Linked DNA regions of Bombyx mori. The protein of the gene in region 1 interacts with the protein of each later gene in a pairwise test. Links are inferred from orthologs where the notes say so. Each region holds a gene or a part of one and is shown on either strand. Other genes may lie near its edges.

Evidence for each region.
Region 2: the proteins of Run (region 1) and protein big brother interact in a two-hybrid assay, tested with the Drosophila melanogaster proteins (2 studies listed by BioGRID). The link is inferred for Bombyx mori from reciprocal best matches to the Drosophila melanogaster genes run and Bgb.

Annotation. Positions count from the first base shown.
Region 1 is NC_085109.1:9,753,680-9,758,444, reverse strand, and holds the start of Run (runt), read right to left. Parts: upstream 3,172-4,765; 5' UTR 2,831-3,171; coding exon 2,386-2,830; intron 1-2,385. UniProt on the Drosophila melanogaster protein: Plays a pivotal role in regulating the expression of other pair-rule genes such as eve, ftz, and h.
Region 2 is NC_085110.1:9,019,334-9,024,119, forward strand, and holds the start of protein big brother, read left to right. Parts: upstream 1-1,686; 5' UTR 1,687-1,947; coding exon 1,948-2,115; intron 2,116-4,320; coding exon 4,321-4,500; intron 4,501-4,786. UniProt on the Drosophila melanogaster protein: Regulates the DNA-binding properties of Runt.

The DNA of each region.
Region 1 (4,765 bases):
ATGTGGGACTGGACGGTCCGCATATGTTTGGAGCGGACATGGGGTCCAGAACGCAGTCACAATAGGCAGTGTAACGCACTATCCAAATTAGAGCTGGCTAACAAGTTTCCACACCATCAGTGCTAATATTTCAGATTAGTTTTAATCGTATGCTCAGCAAGCGCCAGTGCGAACGTATCTGTATTTAGACTTCAGTACATCGATGTCAAGTGTTTTAGGATTGTTTTAAACGCGTGAAAACGAAAATAAAACTAGTTTGAATGTGGTCGAATGCCGCGGCGCCGCAAAACCGACCTCGGACCGTGGACTGGCGCCCGGCCAGAGTGAAACGTCACATCACTTTGACACGATTATAAGATATATATATTTTTTATGTTTTTTTTTTTTGTGTTATTTATGTAAGCAGCACCGATAAATTTCAATGTTAATTAAACAATGAAATGATTGATGTTAGAAAAATTGCAATATTGTTTTTTTTTTTTTTTTTTTCGAAACTTATTAGCTTCGGATTGTTATCGTTTATCTATGGAATGATTTTTGCTTTTAGAAAAATTTTCTGTTACAAATAAAATATTCGGATAGTTCAATAGAATGTACCTTTTGGTATTCAAATACAGATTATCCTGTGTTTTCTAGTGTTTTCACGTAGTTTTTTCCGCGTAGATCTTACTTACATTAAGCGTGTTTTTTTCTTTATTTCTAATTGTTCGAATACTCTATAGCTTACACGGGGTTCAATATCAAAATCATAGATTAACTTGGTGATTACTTTTTTTTTTAATTTATGTATTTGTAGATTTATAAATCGTGATCTATGCGTTCCCGCGTTTTTTATAACCAATGTAGTTGTAAATACATACGAGTTTAATTGCGAATATAATCTGACGGATCATCGGTTGAACCAACGGGTGTGTTTAGAAGTATAGTCAAAACTAAATTAATCTTTATTTTTTGCGACTAATGGTTAATCTCCAGTAGTGACTTTTTGAGAAACGGAGGGTTTTTTTTTAAGTTTACTGTCAAAGAATTTACATTTCACCGTTTTATGGCTACTGTTTTTGGAAGAATATTTTGTTAAAAAACTTTTGAATAACATACCATGGAATGTGTTAGGCAAGAAAAATGTGTTTCTATAATAGTATAGTAGTAAGTATATTTTTCCTGTCCATGTAACAAACTGATAATAAATTTCAAAATTGGATTTGTTAATTTTCAACTAAAATGTATTTGTCTTTTTGTCTAGTAACTATTGAGTTATTTTATTATTAATAAATGTTAAGACTGTGTTCGGTTGTTATTGAAAAAATATGGAAAATAGACTCGGACGAACTACTATATATTTTTTTTAATTGCTTAGATGTGTGGGCGAGCACATAGCCCACCTGGTGTTAAGTGGTTACTGGAGCCCATAGACATCTACAACGTAAATGCGCCATCCACCTTGAGATATAAGTTCTAAGGTCTCAGTATAGTTACAACGGCTAGCCCACCCTTCAAACCGAAACGCATTGCTGCTTCACGGCAGAAATAGGCGGGGTGGTGGTACCTACCCGTGCGAACTCACAAGAGGTCCTACCACCAGTAAAACACTTCCTCATCATATTCTACTGTGGTAGTAGAAATATACTTAAATTACTTTCCTAGAACATTAGCCGAAAGTTAGCTAGGATGTTCTTATTGTCTACTGTCTAATTCTGTTGCATATTTCGATCGAAAAGCCGTCATTGCAATCCAATTGAGACCTTGACCTAATTGCTCAAGGTGAGCAATAGTATCCACCGTATGACGCCTAAGTTACGATGGACTCGTAACATCAAATAAATCGCAAACCTACCAGTCTCAACTGCTAAATAAATAGATTGTCGCATAATCTTTTGAGTAAGGTTTAGTATTTTTAAATTTAGTACACAAACCCCAAATCATTTATTAGCAACGGCATTTTATAAGTATCTATCTAATTGCCTCTGAAACCACAGTATTGATATCTAGTATACAGTCGTATATAGTGTATAGTATATAGTGTTATAATCAATTAGTTATGGATTTAATATTTGCCCGTTGATCGTTGTACAGTACTTATAAAGTTATATATTTTATATAGTTGATTTCGTACACATTTTCAAATATATTATTAATTGTAATATTCATTTATATCTTTTTTTTGCTTAAAAGTGTGTACGAGCTTACGTTCAGTTTGATGATAAGTGGTTGTCGGAGTCATAGACATCACTACAGGATTGCTGGCACTCGCTTTGACATATCAAATCGAAGTCTTAGTTGTATTGCGGTTGTTCTGAGCTTCGCGGCAGATATAGACAAAGTTTGGTGGTACATATTATTATATACGCACAAAATATATGAAACATTACAGATATAGTAACTTACTTTGTTTTGTTCTCGGCTCCCTTGGTCCATCGACCGTTACTTTGATTGCTTTGGTGTAGGTGGCGACTTGTGAAGGAAATGAGCTGATGGTGATGGTGAGGGTGAAGGACTTGCCTCGTCCGCTCCGACCGACAAACCTCAGGTCGTTGAACTTTGCCACTTGGTTCTTCATCACCGCGGTACAGTTCCTGAGTTCGGCCATCACGTTCTCGTCGTTTCCAGCCTTTATCGTAACTAGAGTGCCGTCTTGAACGTCATCTAGTGCCACTACTTTAAAAGCCAACGGTAATGATTTATTCGACCTCCAATGGCCAGGTAACGCAGAGCACAAGACAGCCGGAGAACCAGTCTGTACTAACTCTCCGTGACTCTGCCGGTAGTACTCGTGGATATGAGCGTAAACGTCTGCCATCCTGACGGCAGGACTCGCGTGCGGGAGGTGCATCGACTTCAAACTACCCCCGAACACTTCTCTGACACGCCACTGAGGTCTGAACACTTCGATTAAAGTTTTAAAAACACGCGACCGAAGTTCGAACTCGCGGCGACCGTTGCGTGCGCGGGGAGCACTCGGAAAAGTTGTGTAAAGTGCGAGCGCGAGACGTCGTGTGAGCTGCGAGTCACCGTCTACAGTCTACACCACTTGTTGGGCGCGGACGGCAAGACGCCGGGCGGGGGACTCGGAAAAATAAACGGGCGGTCGCGCGACCGCAAGCCGAAGACTCACGACGCGCTCCGAAGTAGCGGCCAAGGGACGCGTGCCGCGGGAACTCGGTTTCGACTGATGACTGTGATACGACGCGACTTTTTCCGATGGTCAATATTTTGCGTTCGCGCGGTCGCCGCCCCCACCCGGGTGGCGGCCCCTACGTCTCGTAAAAAGCGGGAAGGAGACGAAGGGTGCGGGTGATGCGGTCCCGCGGCGGGAACGAGCGGGACGGCCGCGGTTGATCTCTGCGTTTTTATAAAAATTCTCGTTCGAGCGGGACGCCGTCGCACGTCGCCCGCCTGCGAGAGAGGGATGGGTGGATTTTTTTGAATCAACGCGGTGACGTATCGTAAAGTGACGGTAATTAGGCCGCGGGGCGGCGGGAAACCGCGACCGGTGCGAAAACCTATCAACGAGCTCATGAAAAATTATGATTTTCATGTTTTGAGTCGACAAAAGTATTGGAGAGGTGCCGCACTCATGGGGAGGCACTTCATTTTCATTGAAGCACGTGAAGAATTTCAATGGCACGGCTATCCAACGACACCCGTCGAATTTTTTGAGTTGATTAATTATGTCTGCATCGCCAAATTATACGAAAAAAAAGGAATAGAATTACTCATCATTATTTATAAAAAAATCATGCTACTCAAATATGCACTACAGATATAAATTATAATGTTTGTATATGAGATAAACAGGCTTAATTTTATTTCCTAGAAAACGAAAAAAAAAACACAACATTCTGGATATTATTACTTATAAATAATTTAGATTTATGTGATTTTTATATTATTAATATTTCATTCGACCAACTCGATTGTCTACCCGATGCTTGATTGTAAATTAGTTATTGAGATTCTAATTCAAGTTTTCAACCGAAAAGCTACGTGTTCTCAATTACGAAAATTCGTATTTCGGCTCCAATCAAAAATAAGGAGCTAAACAAAGAGTGATAGATTGAGAAAGCCACGTCCGCGTGTGGTTAGCCGCGAGTTGGCGTGCGAAGGAGTCAGTGCGCTGTGCGAACAGAACAGCCGGAGTATGGGGCGGGGCGACAGGCGGTGCGAGCTCGCCAACTTTCCAAACAGTTTCCCGCGCTTTTCACGCGCGGCATGTCTTACGTCACGCGTTCGAATTTCGAACTTGTTTAAATTTTGACAATAAAACTTTTTTGAGAACATAGGTAATTGTTTTTTTATTTTAGTTCTTCGTGTTATCTATGTAATTAAAGTATATTCACGATGTGAATGTATTATAAAGAGTTTGTAGTTCGAATCAAAATGCGAAATTTGAGAATCCACGGTCTACCTATATGTTACTAGTAAACCTTTTCAGTACTAATTATAATCATTCCAAAAGAGAATTTACGACTTCAAGGCCAAAAATGAAACTTGTATTTGAATATGCAATTTCGAAAAGGCACATGTCGCATATTTTGTCAAATACGTTTTTTCATATACATGTAGTTTTGAGGCTTACCTACACCCATTTTATAATAATTCTAGTAATCTTCAATTGCTAATTAATACTAAAACTATATCTCAAAAGTTAATATTTTAAATTTTACACTGCTTTAGAAAATAATCAGTTTTTTTCATTTCCTGAACATTTTACATTTTCAGAGATGTGCCCTTTTCGAAATTGCATATTCAAATAGGTTAGATAGAT
Region 2 (4,786 bases), on another chromosome or scaffold:
GTTTAAGTTATTGGTTCATAATATTTTAGTAAATAAATAAACCAAATTCGACTTTATCTCCAGCAGCAATATGCAATTTAAAGTTTAACCATAGTGAACTTTTTAATAGTAAAATTTTCACACTTATTTCGGCCACGGTAGTTTTTGCGTGATACATTTTTTTATATTGACATAGGCGATAAACCAGCAAACTTACTTTGAAGTTGAGGTCTCAATTGTATTAGTTTTTTTTTTATTGCTTATATGGGTAGACGAGCTCACAGCCCACCTGGTGTTAAGTGGTTACTGAAGCCCATAGACATCTACAATGTAAATGCGCCACCCACTTTGAGATATCAGTTCTAAGGTCTCAGTATAGTTACAACGGCTGCCCCACCCTTCAAATCGAAACGCATTACTGCTTCACGGGAGAAATAAGCAGGGTGGTGGTACCTACCCGCGCGGACACACAAGAGGTCCTACCACCAGTAAGTACCATTGTAAAACGTTTCTCTTCAAACGGAAACCCATGACTGCTTTTCGGCTGAAATAAGCAAGACGGCGGCGGTACTTATGGGTGTGGATTTAAATAATATACGCCTCACCACCAAAAATTTCGCCGCTTCATTTTATTACACGATGTTGTTATTTGTTGGTGGAAGTAGTTCTTGAACACTGATGTGATGCGTATGTTATTAAAAAAAAGGTAAATTGGTTTAAAAAAATTGGTACTGCCTGCCACTGCAGGCATTTGCCATGAACACTGACCTGATTATGTCATCGTTTGATAAGAGTACATCGGGCATCTTATCCTTTTGGATAACTTGAAAAGAATTTAACAATCAATGAAAAACGGACTAAGAAAATTAATTGGACTCAAGTATAGTTAACCAAAGCACTCTCTAATTCTATAATACTAAGCTTAGATAGATTCAAATAAATTATTTCGAATAGTTAATGTTTTAATAGTAGTGTACATACCTATATTCTACTGTATGAGACAGCCTTATTGCGAAGATGTATTGTTAACAATAGAAGACGACAACTGATAGTTATCGGCAAACACTTACCAAGAGATAAGTTTAAGTGCACTTTATACATTTCACAGGATGTGTGCCGCCTATTGTATTTTAAAAAAAATTATGGAAGTACTTAAATTCGTCCGATTGAGATGTTTCACATTGATTTTGTTTTCTAATCTCTTCGAAAACTTTTTAATTACGATTAGTTAGATAAAATATGTAGAAAAAATATTATTTTTATATTTTCTTTAATTATTATTGAAAGCTAACGTGACAACATTTTAAAATTGTACTTTACAGATCGAGTAAGGGTAAAGACTGACATTTGATTCATGAATAATGGCGTTACGAAAATCCTTGTTAGCTTTATCGTGGATCGAAATCAAGAATAATAATTTAAGTAGCCCTATAAAATAAGTATAATAGCATACAAAAATATCACATTTCACTGTATGACATCCTGGCTTGACTACCCCTTGATAAATCGGTCGTATATAACATACATTTATCTCGCTACAAAGGAACAAAAGCATCGATACAAGTATATAAAACACTCGAAACTTCCAAAAAGGATAATGCCCATCATTATAAATTCATGTGCTTTGTCGTTTACAGTATTTATTTTCAACAGTTTCGTTAGGGGAAAACCCTCTTTTCGCTCGAAAGCTCCCGAAAGCGTTGAGAGAAGGCGTCGGGCGTTTCGTTCGGGCACGGGTATTGGCTCCACACTTCCCCACCACGCTAAGTCTCCGCCCTAATGAAAATTCTCCCCTAGAGCATGGTATGAGATTTCATTCAGTACCGGAATGTCACGGAGGCAGGTGGTCGTGTCGTAGTACGTACGTCAATTCGTATTATTTGAGTCATTCGTAACGCTGAGTCAGTGAGGCACGCGCGCTAAGTGATGTTTGGTTCCGTGCAAGCAAAGCTATAGGAGCCGTAGGTTATGCACGCTATGAGTGATCCTTCGCCGTTGGCCGGCATGTTGCCTTTTGACTCTATCTACGAGCAGCCAAAGCCAAGGTTCATTTTCAAAATGCCACGTGTAGTGCCCGATCAAAAAGCCAAATTCGAATCAGACGATCTCTTCAAAAGACTTAGCAGAGAAAGTGAGGTGAGTTTTTATAAATGCCAACTTTAACAATTGTATGCAAAGTGAATTGAGTATTCGTTTTTAAATTTTAATGGTCCGATTGCTAAGCCATGCTTTAAACAAACAGGAAAATAATGCATTTGTATAATGTTATATTAGTCATCGACAAATAATTAGCGTAAAATACTTTAACTTATAGTAGTAGTTAGTTCTACATGATAAATATAATAACAAAAAAATTGAAAATTCACTAATACTTATTTAAAACATTTGTAATTCTTAATTTTATTAATTTTTTAATTCCATATAACATGTTATTACAAGGAACAATTGACGATAGGATGATTTAAACCTTTTTCGATCAGAATGTACGAAGTTTGACCGAGTAGAAGGTTCTTTGATTGAAACATAAAATAGTTTCAAACATATTTCATTTATTTCTTATTATCTTATCTTATCAATTATCATTTACTGAACTTAATTTTGATTAAAATAAACGCATTACTATGTACATACCCGACCTAAATACTGAATCTGCATGCTAACTTTCATATCTAACTAAAAGAGAAATCATAAATTCATGTTTATCTTATGGAATTCATGGATTTCGCTGTGAATTTACAATACACCCACAAAAAGAAGAAAAAAAACAAGTCAGAAAGATATGAAAAGGAGTAGGTATACTTAATATGAGACTTCAAAGCGATATTAGCCCACTGAGTTTCTCGCCGGATCTTCTCAGTGGGTCGCGTTTCCGATCCGGTGGTAGATTCTGCGAAGCACTACTCTTGCTAGGGTCAGTGTTAGCAACACTCCGGTTTGAGCCCCGTGAGCTCACCTACACACGTCAGGGTGAAGCTGAAATAGCCTCTCAATACTATCAGCATAGGTAGGAAAAAAAAAGAGGAAAAAAATAAATAAATACAAAAGCGATATGCGGAAATAACAATTAGGAAACAGGTTAATGATGTTCTGGGTTATCGTTAGAAACTTGAACGTATGTATGTACATACATCTAAGCGGCTCAATCCACATCGCACGAATAAATAGCAGTAAAATAATTCATTGTAACCATGTTTAGGGCATATCTATGAAAATTAACAGACGAGTACGAAAACACTTATTACCGGTGGTAGGGACCTTTTGTGAGTCCGCACGGATAGGTACCACCGCCCTGCCTATTTCTGCCGTGAAGCAGTGATGCGTTTCGGTTTGAAGGGTGGGGCAGCCGTCGTAACTATACTGAGACCTTAGAACTTATGTCTCAAGGTGGGTGGCGTATTTGCGTTGTAGATACCACCACTTAGTGTAGTAACCACTTAACACCAGGTGGGCTGTGAGCTCGTCCAGCCATCTAAGCAATAAAAAAAAAAGACATACATGTAAATAGTTATTGGAAATACCTGAGGAATAGCCTAGGATAAAACTAAATAGCATACGGAAAGGAAACCTATACTCGTCGAATGATCCCAAATCATAGATACAGCCCACTGAGTTTCTCGCCGAACCTTCTCAGAGGGTCGCGTTTTCGATCCGGTGGTAGATTCTGCGAAGAACTGCTCTTGCTAGGGTCAGTGTAAGCATCACTCCGGTTTGACCCCGTGAGCTCACCTACTAGCTAAGGTTACGCTGAAATAGCCTCTCAAGGCTCGGCTTAGGTAGGAATTTAAAAAAAACCAGCAAATGAACACAGCATTAAATTTTATTCAAATCAATTTAACGATTTATCTTTAATAGCTCGAATTTAATTTATTCAAGCTTTATTTAAATTTACTATAAACTTTAGTAATTAATTGACCAAATAGGAAATAAATGACTAATACAATGAAATAATAAATAATCATTATAAGTAGGTTTACTTATTTCACGTGCAATAAAAAATCTGCTGCACATTCTGTTGCACAAACTTGTCTGAAGGAATTTCATAACTTTTTTAATGATTCGCAAACCTTCTGTTGTAAATCAAAACGAGTAAGCATTTACAAGAGCGATCATCAAGTAGACAAGAATAGCCTAAAAGAAATTATCCACGGTGTACTAACCGAATTGAAGAAGGAATATATTTATAAATATCAATAGTATAATGCACTCCTCTTACTGTCCATATTGTGAATATTTATTTTTTAGCGCACTACGCACTAGATGATGTTTATGTAAATAGATTTTCAAAATGCTTTGATACGCAAGATAAACAGTATATTTATGGGATGATATATTTGTTGGCAGGTTAGATACACTGGATACCGAGACCGGCCTCCCGAAGAACGCCAGATGCGATTCATGAGCGGTTGCCGCGAGGGACACACGGAGATAGCGTTTACCGGTACCGGCACAAACCTTCAGCTTGTCTTCGATCACTCACCCTACAACAACCGTGGCTGCGACTTTCAAAAGGAAAATGGAAAAGTAAGTCTTAAATGTTGTTTTACGTAAACATCGAAACGGTTTTCTGGTCAATGGTAGCCAGGTCGTCTGATGAATGAAGTGAGGAAATTTTGAAATGGTAATTTTTACATAGCTGCGTTTTGTTTGAAAAAATCTCTGCGTAAACGGCCTTCTGGAAGAGATCGTAAATAATATTAAATTAAATAATTAATTTAAAAAATAATATTTACTTATTCGTTTTTAAATTAAATTATGTTTCGTATGTTTCAAATAAAGTATCTTTCTTATCAACTACAGTGATTTGGAA